Oryzias latipes: one gene and its partners. The protein of the gene in region 3 interacts with the protein of the main gene of each other region in a pairwise test. Links are inferred from orthologs where the notes say so. Each region holds a gene or a part of one and is shown on either strand. Other genes may lie near its edges. The genes, in order: hemk1, nck2 and N-chimaerin.

Evidence for each region.
Region 1: the proteins of N-chimaerin (region 3) and hemk1 interact in binary tests that used the Homo sapiens proteins (3 or more experiments, as listed by UniProt). The two-hybrid records come from large-scale screens. The link is inferred for Oryzias latipes from reciprocal best matches to the Homo sapiens genes CHN1 and HEMK1.
Region 2: the proteins of N-chimaerin (region 3) and nck2 interact in binary tests that used the Homo sapiens proteins (3 or more experiments, as listed by UniProt). The two-hybrid records come from large-scale screens. The link is inferred for Oryzias latipes from reciprocal best matches to the Homo sapiens genes CHN1 and NCK2.

Annotation. Positions count from the first base shown.
Region 1 is NC_019863.2:8,120,473-8,124,858, reverse strand, and holds the start of hemk1 (hemK methyltransferase family member 1), read right to left. Parts: upstream 2,872-4,386; 5' UTR 2,614-2,871; coding exon 2,551-2,613; intron 1-2,550. Other genes in the region: GATOR complex protein NPRL2, read left to right, coding at 3,640-3,711. UniProt on the Homo sapiens protein: N5-glutamine methyltransferase responsible for the methylation of the glutamine residue in the universally conserved GGQ motif of the mitochondrial translation release factors MTRF1, MTRF1L, MRPL58/ICT1 and MTRFR.
Region 2 is NC_019879.2:10,333,107-10,336,704, reverse strand, and holds part of nck2 (cytoplasmic protein NCK2), read right to left. Parts: intron 705-3,598; coding exon 510-704; 3' UTR 1-509. UniProt on the Homo sapiens protein: Adapter protein which associates with tyrosine-phosphorylated growth factor receptors or their cellular substrates. Maintains low levels of EIF2S1 phosphorylation by promoting its dephosphorylation by PP1.
Region 3 is NC_019860.2:23,907,171-23,911,494, reverse strand, and holds the start of N-chimaerin, read right to left. Parts: upstream 2,892-4,324; 5' UTR 2,411-2,891; coding exon 2,338-2,410; intron 2,012-2,337; coding exon 1,973-2,011; intron 1,897-1,972; coding exon 1,841-1,896; intron 704-1,840; coding exon 672-703; intron 569-671; coding exon 455-568; intron 1-454. UniProt on the Homo sapiens protein: GTPase-activating protein for p21-rac and a phorbol ester receptor. Involved in the assembly of neuronal locomotor circuits as a direct effector of EPHA4 in axon guidance.

The DNA of each region.
Region 1 (4,386 bases), on a different chromosome or scaffold from region 3:
TGGATGGGTGAGCGAAAACTTTTGGTAATATAGTGTAGTTTCTGCAGAGCGGCAGTAGTTCATTAGAAATTTACCTCTGACTTGTGGGGGGGACGATTAGCATGAGGCAACCCCGCCCCCTTCACCCTCCCTGCTGCCTAGAGTCCAGTGTTTACACTCTCTTCTTCTAGCTTACAGCCCTTCACAACCCCAACCTAACATTACCAGTGCAACAAAAATGGCGAGCAATAGTGGATCTATCCAGCCGTACAGTTCTGACTAGATACCAGATCAGACGAGGAAAAAAAAGAGGTTTATGGTTCTAGTCGTCTATGGAACAGAGCAGGGAAGTTGTGTTGGTCCACAAATCACCATCTTTTTTACAATCCAGACTGGAATTTGTCACGCTGTGTATTGATCAGCCACAAAGCTTCAGAGAGAAAATCCTGTGGACAGACGAGACCAAACTGGAGCTTTTTGGGAACATCAGCTCTGTGATTACATATGCAAAACTGAAACAAAGACATGAGGACCGTCATACTGTGAAGCACGGAGGAGGCTTGGCTATGATATGGGACTTCTTTGCTGCATCTGACTCAGAAACGATGAAATCTCAAGACCATCAAGTCATTTTGAAATCAAATGTTTTGCCTAGAAAGCTTTGTGTCAGTCTACCAACAGGAAAATGTCCCAAAGGCAAGAATGACTAAAGGCCTGTTCACACCGGGACGAATTTCGCCGGCGACATTCGCTGCGTTTAACGCCTCGTGACTAAACAAAGGGCACCAATGTGAGTGTGCACACCGACGCGAAAAAACGCCATGCGTCAAAGCGTCACTTTTTTAAAAACGCCTCGGGTTCGGTTTTTTTTGGTTTGACGCGCCGCGTCGAAAACTATATGACCAATGAGAATGGCGCTTTTGCACACGTGTCTGGAGCTTCTGAAGTTACACTAAAACACAACTTGGGGGCGCTCAAACACAAAACTGCCTTGCTGAGCACACATACCAGCGAAGAAGATGCGTCTACACTGCTGCGAAGAAAGAATGACGGACATTCTAAAATATCCCCGAACCAAGCACCAGTTGGAGCTACTGGTGCTTGAAATATTCATGTTTTCTTTGTTTGATTCTGACAAGCGCGTAAATACTTGCTCTCTTCTTCTGAGTGAAAAGCGACTTTAAGAAGCGTAAAGTTGCGCAGCGCCACCTTGTGTACAGGAGTATTTCTGTTTTACATTAAGCGCCATCTAATGTCAAGGAATGAAATTGCATGTTCGCTCGGCTCATCGTCAGCAAAAATCGCCTGGGTGTGAACACAAAAAACGTGGCGAAAAATGCTGGCGAATAACGCCTGGCGAATATTCGTCCCGGTGTGTACGGGCCTTAAGAGCGAAACTTCAGAGTGTTCTGATGGAAGGAGTTGAAACATGCTGTCAGGAGAAGGAAGCTCTGCTGTGATTCCATTTCTCCACACACCTGCATCAAGGTATTTCTTGTTCATCTCTAAAGAGTTGAGCTTGAAGCTCCTGAGAAACATTTTTTCTTTACAAAGTGAAAGGACCGGGGAGGTCAAAACTTTCTTCCAGTTCCTCCAGTGTTTTTACTCAGTACAAGTGAGTACAAGATCATACCAGAAACAAGTTTGTCTGCATTTTATGCCTCTGTAGCTGCTCACACAAACTAATTTGAGTACACTTACTGGAGTGCATCTCCAAAACATGGCAACTGGTTTGACTTGGATGAAACTGTTCAGAAATTTAGATGGCTCACTGACAAAAATGGAATCTCTTCGTTTGTTTGTGTTGATTTAGAGTAAAAACAAACCCGACTTGATTCGTTAGATCCACTTTAGCTTGGGCATGAAAAAATAAAAATAAAGGTGTGACAGGATGTTGAAGATCCACTCCAATCTTTTGTTTTAATTTAAAAGCGTTCTAAGCGGCCTCATAATTATAATCATGCAATTTCTAGACCCCCCCAAAACAAAACAGAACGGTGTCATTGTCTAGGATAGTTTCTGCAGAGCAGCAGGAGTTTATTAGAAATTCAGATGTGGGTGGTACCTTTGGCACACAGAATATTGTTCAAATTTAAATAATTTTCAAAGGGTCTGATTTTCAGTGCAAATTTGATATTTCATTACAAGCACTGAGGATGGCTTAAACATATGACAAAGAAAGAATAAACAAATGGAAGAAAAAAGCACAAAAAAGAATAGAAATGTCAAATAATTAGATATTTAATTTGTATAGGTTTGAGTTGCTTTCGTGAATAATTTAGCTGTTAAAGGATCATTTAACCCCTTTGCATCTTTGATTATCATCTTCACTCTGATACACACGTTATACTCTGTTACTTACTCTGTTGCAGGACCAGTTTGCTCACAGCTATCAGCCCAAAAAGCAGGCTCCAACTGGTTTTATCCATCCATTTATTACTGCACAATAATAAACAATAAAAGCCTGCGTATCATTAATTTCATCACTAAGCGCACGTGGTCATTTCTGTTGCACCACATTATTAATTCTGGTCTTTGTGTGATCAAAGCATGTTGTGTTTCAGCAGTTACCTTTGTCCCGCCACTCCTCAACCCAATAAAAGCGTGACCTCCTCTGAGCACTCGTCTCCACATGTTCAATAACAACAACAGCGTTCACATCCCCACGTGGCAAGAATCATGCTGCACTAAAATAACACATTAACCATTTACAGTCTATATATACAGTCTATCTATAGTTGACGAAATGATTCTCTATACTAAGTGACTGTAATTTGACTATAAACTGAAGACGTTTTCCTCTGTAGTCCACATGAGAATTGAAAGGAGCTCGGAAAGTACTGTTTCCGCAGGGCTTTACGCAAACACACCAATCCTGGACTGCGCATGACTGACTCTCGCGAAGCGTGCTGCCTTCAAGTGCGTCGGTTAATATGAACTACAACAGCCAGCAGAAATAGAGAGGTGCTTATTAATAGAAAGAATGATTAAAACATTCTACTTAACAATTTCAACGAAAAATAATGTAGAGTTAATAAAAGTAAATAACATTTAACTCTAGTGTTTTAGGACGTCTCAAAAACTAAAATGCCTTGATGATATTAGTGAGTCCATAGTGAGTCCGTGAAAGTGAAAATGAACAATTTTAGAAGTTTTAGTATTTGTCATGCATCAGAGCATCAATATATTGATGTTAAATTTGCATTAAATTCCTCTGAGACTCATTGTGAAGCGTACAGGGCTTTTTGGGTAATACTTTTAAGGAAGCCGTTGTATTATCCCTCATTTTCCAATAGGTGGCGACAAATCTTCTGTCAGCCGATCACCAACGTCCAACTGCTCTACAGAAGAAGAGAAGCGACTTGTGTTGTTGACTGCTGAGGGTTTTCACATGCTGTTTAAACAGTTTAAGACGCGTCCAACAACAATATCTCTAAACGCACCGATAATACTATATTTTATTCGGTGATCAATATTAGGACTGTTGGACGCTGTAGAAATGTCGCCACTATTTTTTCCTTAGGCGCAAAAGCGTGGAGCTAGCTAGCTAGCTAGCTTCGTTTAGCTGAAGCAGGAAAGGAAGAAACGACATCGTCCGTTTCTTCTGTCGGTATCTCTGACTCTAATTTTTAGCCTCTGTGTTTGAAGTTCGTCACAGGCATGGTCAATCGGATAGAGTGTATATTCTTTAGTGAGTTTCACCCCACACTGGGTCCAAAGATAACATATCAGGTGAGTGCTAGTCTGAAGTTGTGATCATGATCCGTAAGCAGACTAGAATAGTAACTTAGTCTTTAATGTTTACCTTAGTAGAACGGCCACAACAATGCCTCTATTATGCAGTACCGCATTATGCTGTGCCCTATTTTGTCCTAACACAAGAAAGTAAGAAAACTTGTTTTTCCTTTTGTTATTTTTCGCTTCCTTTTTGCACATAATGTTTCTTTTAATAACAATCAATGTCAGTACATTTCACTTTAACTTGACGCCCCACTTGTTAAAATTGCACTTTTTTTTCCTTTTTATATGATTATTATTATATCTCTCACATGGATTCAATGTGTCATGTGTTGTATCATTAAGATTTATGATCAACAGTAATTATAATAGCATCACCTACATGTGTTCGAAGAATGTATAGAAATGGATATTTACTTTCAATATTTTATTTTCCAGTCAAATAATTACTAATCCTCTTAAGTTTGATATATCTATGTGTAAATGTATCACTCTTGTTTGCCTTGCCCTGTTTTCATTGCTTGAAATAAATCCATACCTAATTCTAAAGGTCTATTAAATGAAACCGTAAAAGTGCAGTATTTTAACAGAAGTACAGATGAATACGAGAGTAGCTCCCTTTAAAAAAATCATATTTAATTTAAATAAATAAGTTGAATCTTCTTTATA
Region 2 (3,598 bases), on a different chromosome or scaffold from region 3:
GAACTTGGCGGTCTCCTCTATTGCAATGAGGCCCCGCCCCCCTCTGCCTTAAGGAAAGAGTTCAGACCGGCTGAGGCAGACAAATTCAGGAATTGCAGAAATCAAAGGAATGGTGGGAGAAAAACGATTAAAAAGGCAAAAGAGTGATTGTGGTCACTTTGTGAAAAACAACTGGTGAGGAAATATAAACAAAGAGGTCTGAAAGCAGTCCTTAAAAGAAAATGAGAGCTCAAGGTTTGGATCTCCTGTGTGTTTTAAGAGCGACGGTGCGACTGACAACGTCCCTGCTTGTAAATAGACATGATGAGTGACATCAGAGTGAGACCCCCCCCCCCCCCCCCCCCACACCCCAACAAGGCCTCACACGTTCTGTTAGCAGCAGATGTGCTCACTGGAAACACATCCAGGGCAGAGAGGCCGGTGGAAGACCGGAGGATCTGAAACCTGGTCAAGTGAGACAGGTAATGGAAGAAGGGGGGCGGGGCTATGAGAGCGTCGAGGCGTGTGAATCACAGCAGCGCTTTGACCAGATACAACTTCTCCCCCTGATCGCTGGTGAAGATGGGGGCTTTCTTGTAGTGCTCCACAAGTTCGTCCATGGAGTTGAACCTGCGCTGGCCGATGCAGTACACTCCGTCTGAGAGCTGCACCTTAAAGTGCTTATTCTTCCCCACCGCCTTCAGAGACACAGAGAAATCACTGGGCTGCAAAACAAAGAAGATGGATTAGAGCCGACTCTCCAGCAGATGGCAGCAGAGTCTCCCATTTGCAGCCTTTCTGCTTCAGGCTTTTGTTTCTTTTTGTGTTTTTTTGTCTTTTTTGTGAGATAGTTCCAGATAAAACCTCCTTTTACTCCCTTTATCCTGCTCCTAACTGCTCCGCATTATGGATCACATGTAATGAAAGAGGAGGTCTGAGGAGCTGCTTTGAGAGGCTTTTGGGCTCCACACTTAAGTGGACAATAAATGTGTTGCTTATGTAAGTATAAAATATTCTTTTGTTAAACCTTTTTTTTGTGGCAAAAACAGACCATTTTTTTCGGTCTGAATCTTTATCCCCACATTTTTTTAAAGGAAAAAAAAAAAACTTTTTTTGACCCAAACATCAGAAAAGAGTTAATTACTCCAAAATGATAAATCGTCTCATTTAGAGGGGCAAGGAAGAAAAACAAAACATCTACTAATCTACATTATGTTTGACTTGTTTATTTTAAAGAGTGTTTATTGTATGAAAGAGACAAAACGCTTAATAAGATGTTACAAAAAACACAATTTAAAAAAAACACAGGTAATTTATGCATTTCTGGTATAAAGTTATATTTAATACAATGTATGTATAAATGTCTTTAATTTAAAACACGTGTAGCAAACCTTTGAGTTCCTCTGTTGGAGCATAAAAGAGATGAAAGATGAAAAAGATGAAACCTTTTATTAAAGTTTGATTCATTCTGAGACATGAAGCTAATTCTGTCATAACTCTCAGCTCAGAAGCTTCTGAGCTCAACAATATTTTAGAACAGAATTAGTTTTTGGTGCCGAAATTCAGACGGAAACAGTCTGGAAGTGCAGAGTCAGGGCGCTAGGTTTCCTTATCTATGCTTTGGAAAAGTCTGAAAGAAGTTTATGAGAATGATAAAATAATAAAAATAAATAAATCCAGTTGTCTTCAGGAGGATTTTTGTTTGGTGCTACTTCCTTGTATGGTGAAATAGTTGCTACCATTTGGCTCCAAGTCTTTAAAGAAGCGAGAAGGAAATGCAGGTGAACTTCAGGACTTAAACTTTAAAGATCCACTCTGATGAAAACGGTGTTTTTAACATGTTCTTGTGACAATTTCCTCATGATGAAGGACATGTATATGTATATTTAAAGAAAATTATGCTTAAAGTTGGATTTCTTAGTATTTTTTTATTCAAATCGATGTGAATCAGGAGCAGACGAAAAGATGTCGTTTAAAAAAGCGTATTTGTGACGTAGAAAATGAAAGAAGTTGAATATTCAGTGAGGTGGGGGGCTTTAAAGGGTTAAAATGCCTCCAAATATAAATCAGAGATTGCAAATGTTTCTCATTTATTAAATAGTCTTTTCACCTTTCTGTTTTGTTTGTTCATGACTAAGCAGAATATATGGGGCTTCTAATGCTTAATAGAAAAAAGAACCATGACTCAGCAAAAACATAAACCGAGTCATCAAGAATCCCATTGATAAACTAACTGCTGCTCTGAGCAGGAAGTGTACTGTGATGAATAATTCAAGTAGACTCCAGGTGAAGCCTTAATTGGTGGATTTTTCTATTCAGTGATGAAAGTCAGGCAAGGAAAAAATCCCTGAACTTTTCTTTGAGCGATATGGCGGGCACAGAGCGAAATTTTGGAAAAATACGTGGTCTTAGATGCATTCTGGTGCATTCTGGCAACTAGTTATTCACTTCTTTATCAAGAAACTAAGACTAATTGGAGCATCATGATTTGTCATTCAAACCCCTAGTTTGACTCTCCATTAAGGACTTGCTGGTCCTAAAAAAGAATTTGGAAAATTGCTCAAAGTAACACAATCCTACAATCTACGCTTTTCCTTAAAGCTGCAAAACATACAATTGCTAAAATATAGTAACATCAAAGCCCCAAATGGCAAAAAGAACACCAGTAACTATGATATTCTATGAAAATACCTCAGTTATTTATACATTATTTCTGCTTTAGAAATGACTGATGTACAACATCCACTTGCACTGTTTTCTCAAACTATAATTACATCAAAATATGGGATCTGCTTTAAACTATAATTCTATAACATAATACATCAATTCTTTAACACCAATACTAAGTAATCTGGGAAATATCAAAACAAACATACAAACTAAACTAAACATTGTAAACATTATTTTTTAAGGGAGTGCGGGTCCAAACCATCAAATACTTATAATTAATGTCAACTATACTGAACTAAATCATGGTAATTAGGAAATACAAATAAATTAGATAAAGAAATGTATTCAAAATAAAAACTGAAACTCAAAACTAAAATTGAAATTATTTCAAAATGTGGTTTTGAGATTATTTTACACAAAAAAGTATTTGACCTACACTACCTTAAAAATCTTTTTTTTCCAGCCAAGACCACTTCAATTTGTTTTTTATCGTCTTCTCACAACTGAGGTCGTGACCACGCTCAATAATGACGATGCCTGCCATTATTTTAACACAAATTTGATCGCAAACTCTTCAGATGTGTTTGTGAAAATTTAGCGTGGGTCCGCCAGTTTTGGTCTCTAGGGAAGCGAGTCACGCTGACCACGTGGTGCAGACAGAGCCAATCAGACCCGTCGACGCATCCGAAAGCAACTAAAACGTCCCGTCATTGGTCAATTAGGCCGGGAAGACGAGGGATGGCCACGACCATAGAGGAAGCTATCTGCGGAGAAATATAGAAAATAAAGCTAAAATTAGCTGATTTCAGACCATTTTTTAATCCGGAAAGCGATTTGTCCGTAGAGATCAGGTCTTTATTTCCCGGAAAGTACGTTCGGTTTGCTCAAAAACCCGGATTTCCGGGAATTCCCGGAAGACTTTCATCACTGTCTATTAGAAATCTTCACT
Region 3 (4,324 bases):
TTTTAAATAATTTGTCTTAAAAATTACAAATATCGGAGGCAAAAGCACCTTAAACGTATTTTTTTTCCATGTGAGGCTTTTGCCCCAAAAAAACAAAGATTATTAAGTTGGATGGTAGTTTTTTAGATGCTTTCTGTCATATTTGTCCAGCAGTAACTGTGGTGGATTGCATAAAAAAGTCTCGACGGCCTGTTGAATGAACCATTTTCAGTTCAGCTGCAGCTTTGAGTCACAAAGACACAAATGTACTTCACAATAATCTGCACAACAAGTGCGAATTATGAACTTCCACCTCCGTGCTTCTGAAACAACGTTGTCGTTTTCATCTCCTGCGGTTTGTTTGGAAAGGTTTAAAACATTTAGATGTTTTTTTCTTTTGGCAAACCGCCCCAAACTTGAGACTTTGAGTTTCTGTGAACTTAAAACTGAGCTCCTGGTCGGGGATCAAACCCACCTCAGGGCCAGGGTGTAGGTGCCCGGCTGCCTCTGGCTCTCTCGGATGAGGTAGCTGCCTTCGGCCTGACTCAGGAGCTGGTCCGTTTCCTCCCTGGAGATCATCCCGTGGAACCTGAGCGGAAGCAGAGCAGAACCTCCAGCAGACCCGTCATGGTGGAAAAGGCGCCAACATGGCCGCAGGGAGGAGGAGGAGGAGGAGAAGGAGGAGGACTTACTCTCTGCCGTAGTATTTAGGACGGTTCTCCACCTGCGGGGACACAAAGGTTTTCCATGTCAAACATGTGGGAGGGGCTTCAGGACCCCGAAGCTGCCTGGTGAGTGTGTGTGCACAGAGAATAGTGCATGAGTCAGACATTGTGTGGTTCCCCACAAAACTGCTGCTGAGCCAATAAATCAGCGGGGGGCGGCGAGCACGGCTGTGAATATCAATCCGGGGGCTGGAGCGGAGAGGTTCAGAGCTTTTCTGGAAGAATCTTTTTAGACGTGAAGAGCGTCACCGCAGACGGCAACCAGAGCTGCTGGTGGCCGACTCTCAGCATCACGCCGTGGAGAGCTGAGGGGAGGAGCGGAATCAGACGGGGAGGGGAGCCTATTTTCAGTCCCTCTTTGGAGAGGATGATGAAATGAGTTGTTCTGGAGCCGGAGGCAAACATGACACGCATCTGCAGGAGAGACTCGCTGCTGTTTTCATGAGCCTAAGCGCAAAAAATAGACCGATTCTGAACCTCCACCCGTGGCAGAGTGGTGTTTGTGAGCTTCCACAAAGCCTTTCAAATCTATTTTTGACTGAAAACTTTAGTCTGAAGGATTTCAGAAGGCAGCAAAGAGGAAACACGAGTGAACTTTTCTGTTTCACGTCAAAAGTAGTCGACATTTATTAGAGAAAATAGTTTGAAAAGTTAACTTTTTCACTTCCTGAAATGTGAAATACATGCCATAATATCACCACGACACCTTGACACCCCCACAATGAATAAGAGCAGCGAGTCTGTGAAATGGCGTGAAGATGTGGGGGGGGGTCTGGGGTTCTTTTTTCATTCCTCCTGCCCACCGGTTTGTTGTCGGTCAGCACCAGCTGCCCCTCTCAGGTCATTCAGCAGTTTTCCATAGGAACCACAAACACCAGATGTGCCCTCCCACATCTTTACTACCCCCAGGCAAAGTCTGCACTAGAGTGGGGAGTAGCACAGAGTGACCTTAAATAAGCTGATTTAAAAAAAAAAAAATAAAGGTTTATATTGAATGGGTAACAACCCGCTGAACAGCTGCAAGTCAAACCAAGAAAGACGTTTGGAAAATCTGCACTGACGAAAATCGGCTTTTCCAGGTTTAAAGGTTGGATCTGAAACAAGGCTGGACAGTGAGGTGGGAGGAAGCGTCTCACCTCGGAGGTGCAGGTGACTCTGCGGGGGTGTGGCGCCTCCTGCTGGAGCTGGTACACTGCGACAGACAGTTGGTGTGTGAGGACCGCCGACTGACAACATGGACACCGATTCAAGCAAAGACCTGTACTCACAGTAGGACTTCCACACCGGCGGCCGATAATCGTCATGATCTGGAAACACAAAGAGGCATCAGACAAGGGGAGGGGGGGCGACCTCTGACCTATGAGTCACAGGTTTGGTTACCGCCTTGTACGGCTAAGTGGTGAAGTGTCCTTTGGCAAGACCCCGAACACCACATTCCTCCTGGTGGTGACAGAAGTGACTTTTATGGAAGCAAAATGTTTGTATATGTCTGCAAATGTGTGTGTGGATGTGTATGTGAATGTGTGTGTGTGAATGGGGCTGTAAACCAAACTGAATCCCATTGACAGTACAAAAGCATCGTGGAAGCACCATAGACTGTAGAGACAATGGAGGAATGGAGGTGTGACATCACCCGTAGAAACCTCCAGCTCTTGTGAAACGAGGCCAAATCCATCACCGTTGCTTCGTGACACGGGCGCCGCCATGTTGAATCCGGTAGACAGTCATCGCTCTGAGGCCGTGTCCGAATTCTAGGGCTGCATTCTTCCTGGGCTGCATTTGAAGGCTGCTTACGTCACGCGACACGAGCTGTCCAAATTCAACGACTCCTTCAAATGCGGCCTCTAAGATACGGCCTTCTTTTTCCCAGATTTCAAGGATTGATCTGCTGTATCCGTCTATGCTGTACATATCCCAAGATGCATTGCAGCCAAACCTAGATATTTTCTGATAACGGTGGCAGACTGTGAAGTGGGAGACGGTGTTAAAAAATGATTACACGTTTTTATAATTACACCTCCAAGATTAAAAGTTGGATCAAATAAGGCAGGAAAACTTTGAGCTGGTTCAATACTCCGCTCTGTTTTCGGGACTCACGGTTGCTAGGCAACATGACATTCACGGATGTAACGGCTGGAATTATCGTCCAAATTCACAGCCGTTACATCCGGCCTAGCCACTGGACGAAGGACAACATCACCCGGAAGGACCGGGATGCAGCAGTCGAGTTTGGACACAGCCAGAGTCATCGCATCAACTGCAATGGCGACAGTAGTTGCCATGGATACGATGACTTAGAGCGTCTCGGACCAATCACTGTGGACTGGTTTCAACAAGGCGGCGCCCGTATCAGGAAGCAACGGTACTTCCTATTTGGGAACAGGAGACAGGAGGGGTTGAGCCGTCCATTGTTTTCACAGTCAATGATAAATACACAGTAGCTACTGTCCCTCACTTCCTTAAAGCTCCTTCCCTTTCAGACACTGCCACCATGTGGACAATGGATGAGCTGCAGCTAAAGTTAATCATTTCCCCATTAGTCATCAGTCAAACAGACCATAGAGCACAACACCGTCCTTCAAACACATTATATTTCAGCCAAGAGACACTATATAGTTTTTTTCCACAGGATGATCCTCATGAGCATGTTTGGATTCCAGATTTACAGTCGTGGTCGTCTCTGGATCACAGAACCAAACTCCTTTAGAGCTTTAAGCGTTTCTGTAGAGATGATAAGGACTTGGACGCTCACTTCCTGTTGGAAGGAGCTTCTGGAATCGGGCCGGACACCTCAGACGGATGTGTCCTTGAATCCGACCGTGATTAAAAATGACCTCAGAGTCGTATCTTTGGTAACCGGAGATCCTGACCAGTTGAGGTCAACCTGAACATCTTGGGTTTTTTTTAAGATAAGGTTGTTGTTTTTCATAAATACAATGTTTTTTTTGCTGAATTCCTCTGTTGGGTGACCAGCGGAGCAGCTAAAGACTTAAATCCGACCATCTTTTCGGCTTCTGTGGTACAGAAACCTTCTGAAGTGGGGTTTTCTGCCATCGTCCATATCTGTGTGTGACACCAGTAGGCGGCCTTCCTGCCCCGTGTCAGACCTCCTCCACGGCCTTATCTGCCCCTCACGGAGGCTTCTGCATCCTGTCCTCCATTCCTGCTCAGGGAGCGTCTGCTCCTGGCTGTCATGGCGCCGTGCAAACCTGTTGGACACACCGTCTTTCTGCACCAGGAAGCTAGCCGGCGGTTTTGGGAAATTGTCATCTGACTTTAGAGGAATGTCTAAATCTCTTCTCTTCTCTGAAATGAAACTTTACGCACAGTTGCCTTGGACTAAACTGTTACGGTCACATTTCTTCTGTTCTCTAAAAAAAATGTACAACCTTTAACCGATTAGAGGATGCCAATTCACTCAAATGGTGATTAAAATGACAAAAAAATAAGATTTTAATAAGATGCTTACCAAAGACATTTAAGGCCATCCTGATCTCCATATGCTGAACAATGGAACCGCAGACCTGAATCCTGTCCTGAACTCACTTTAGATCCTTCAGAGAAGCAAAGGAGAAGCAGAGAAACATCAGAGGAAGCTGCAGACAGAAGCTGCATGTAAA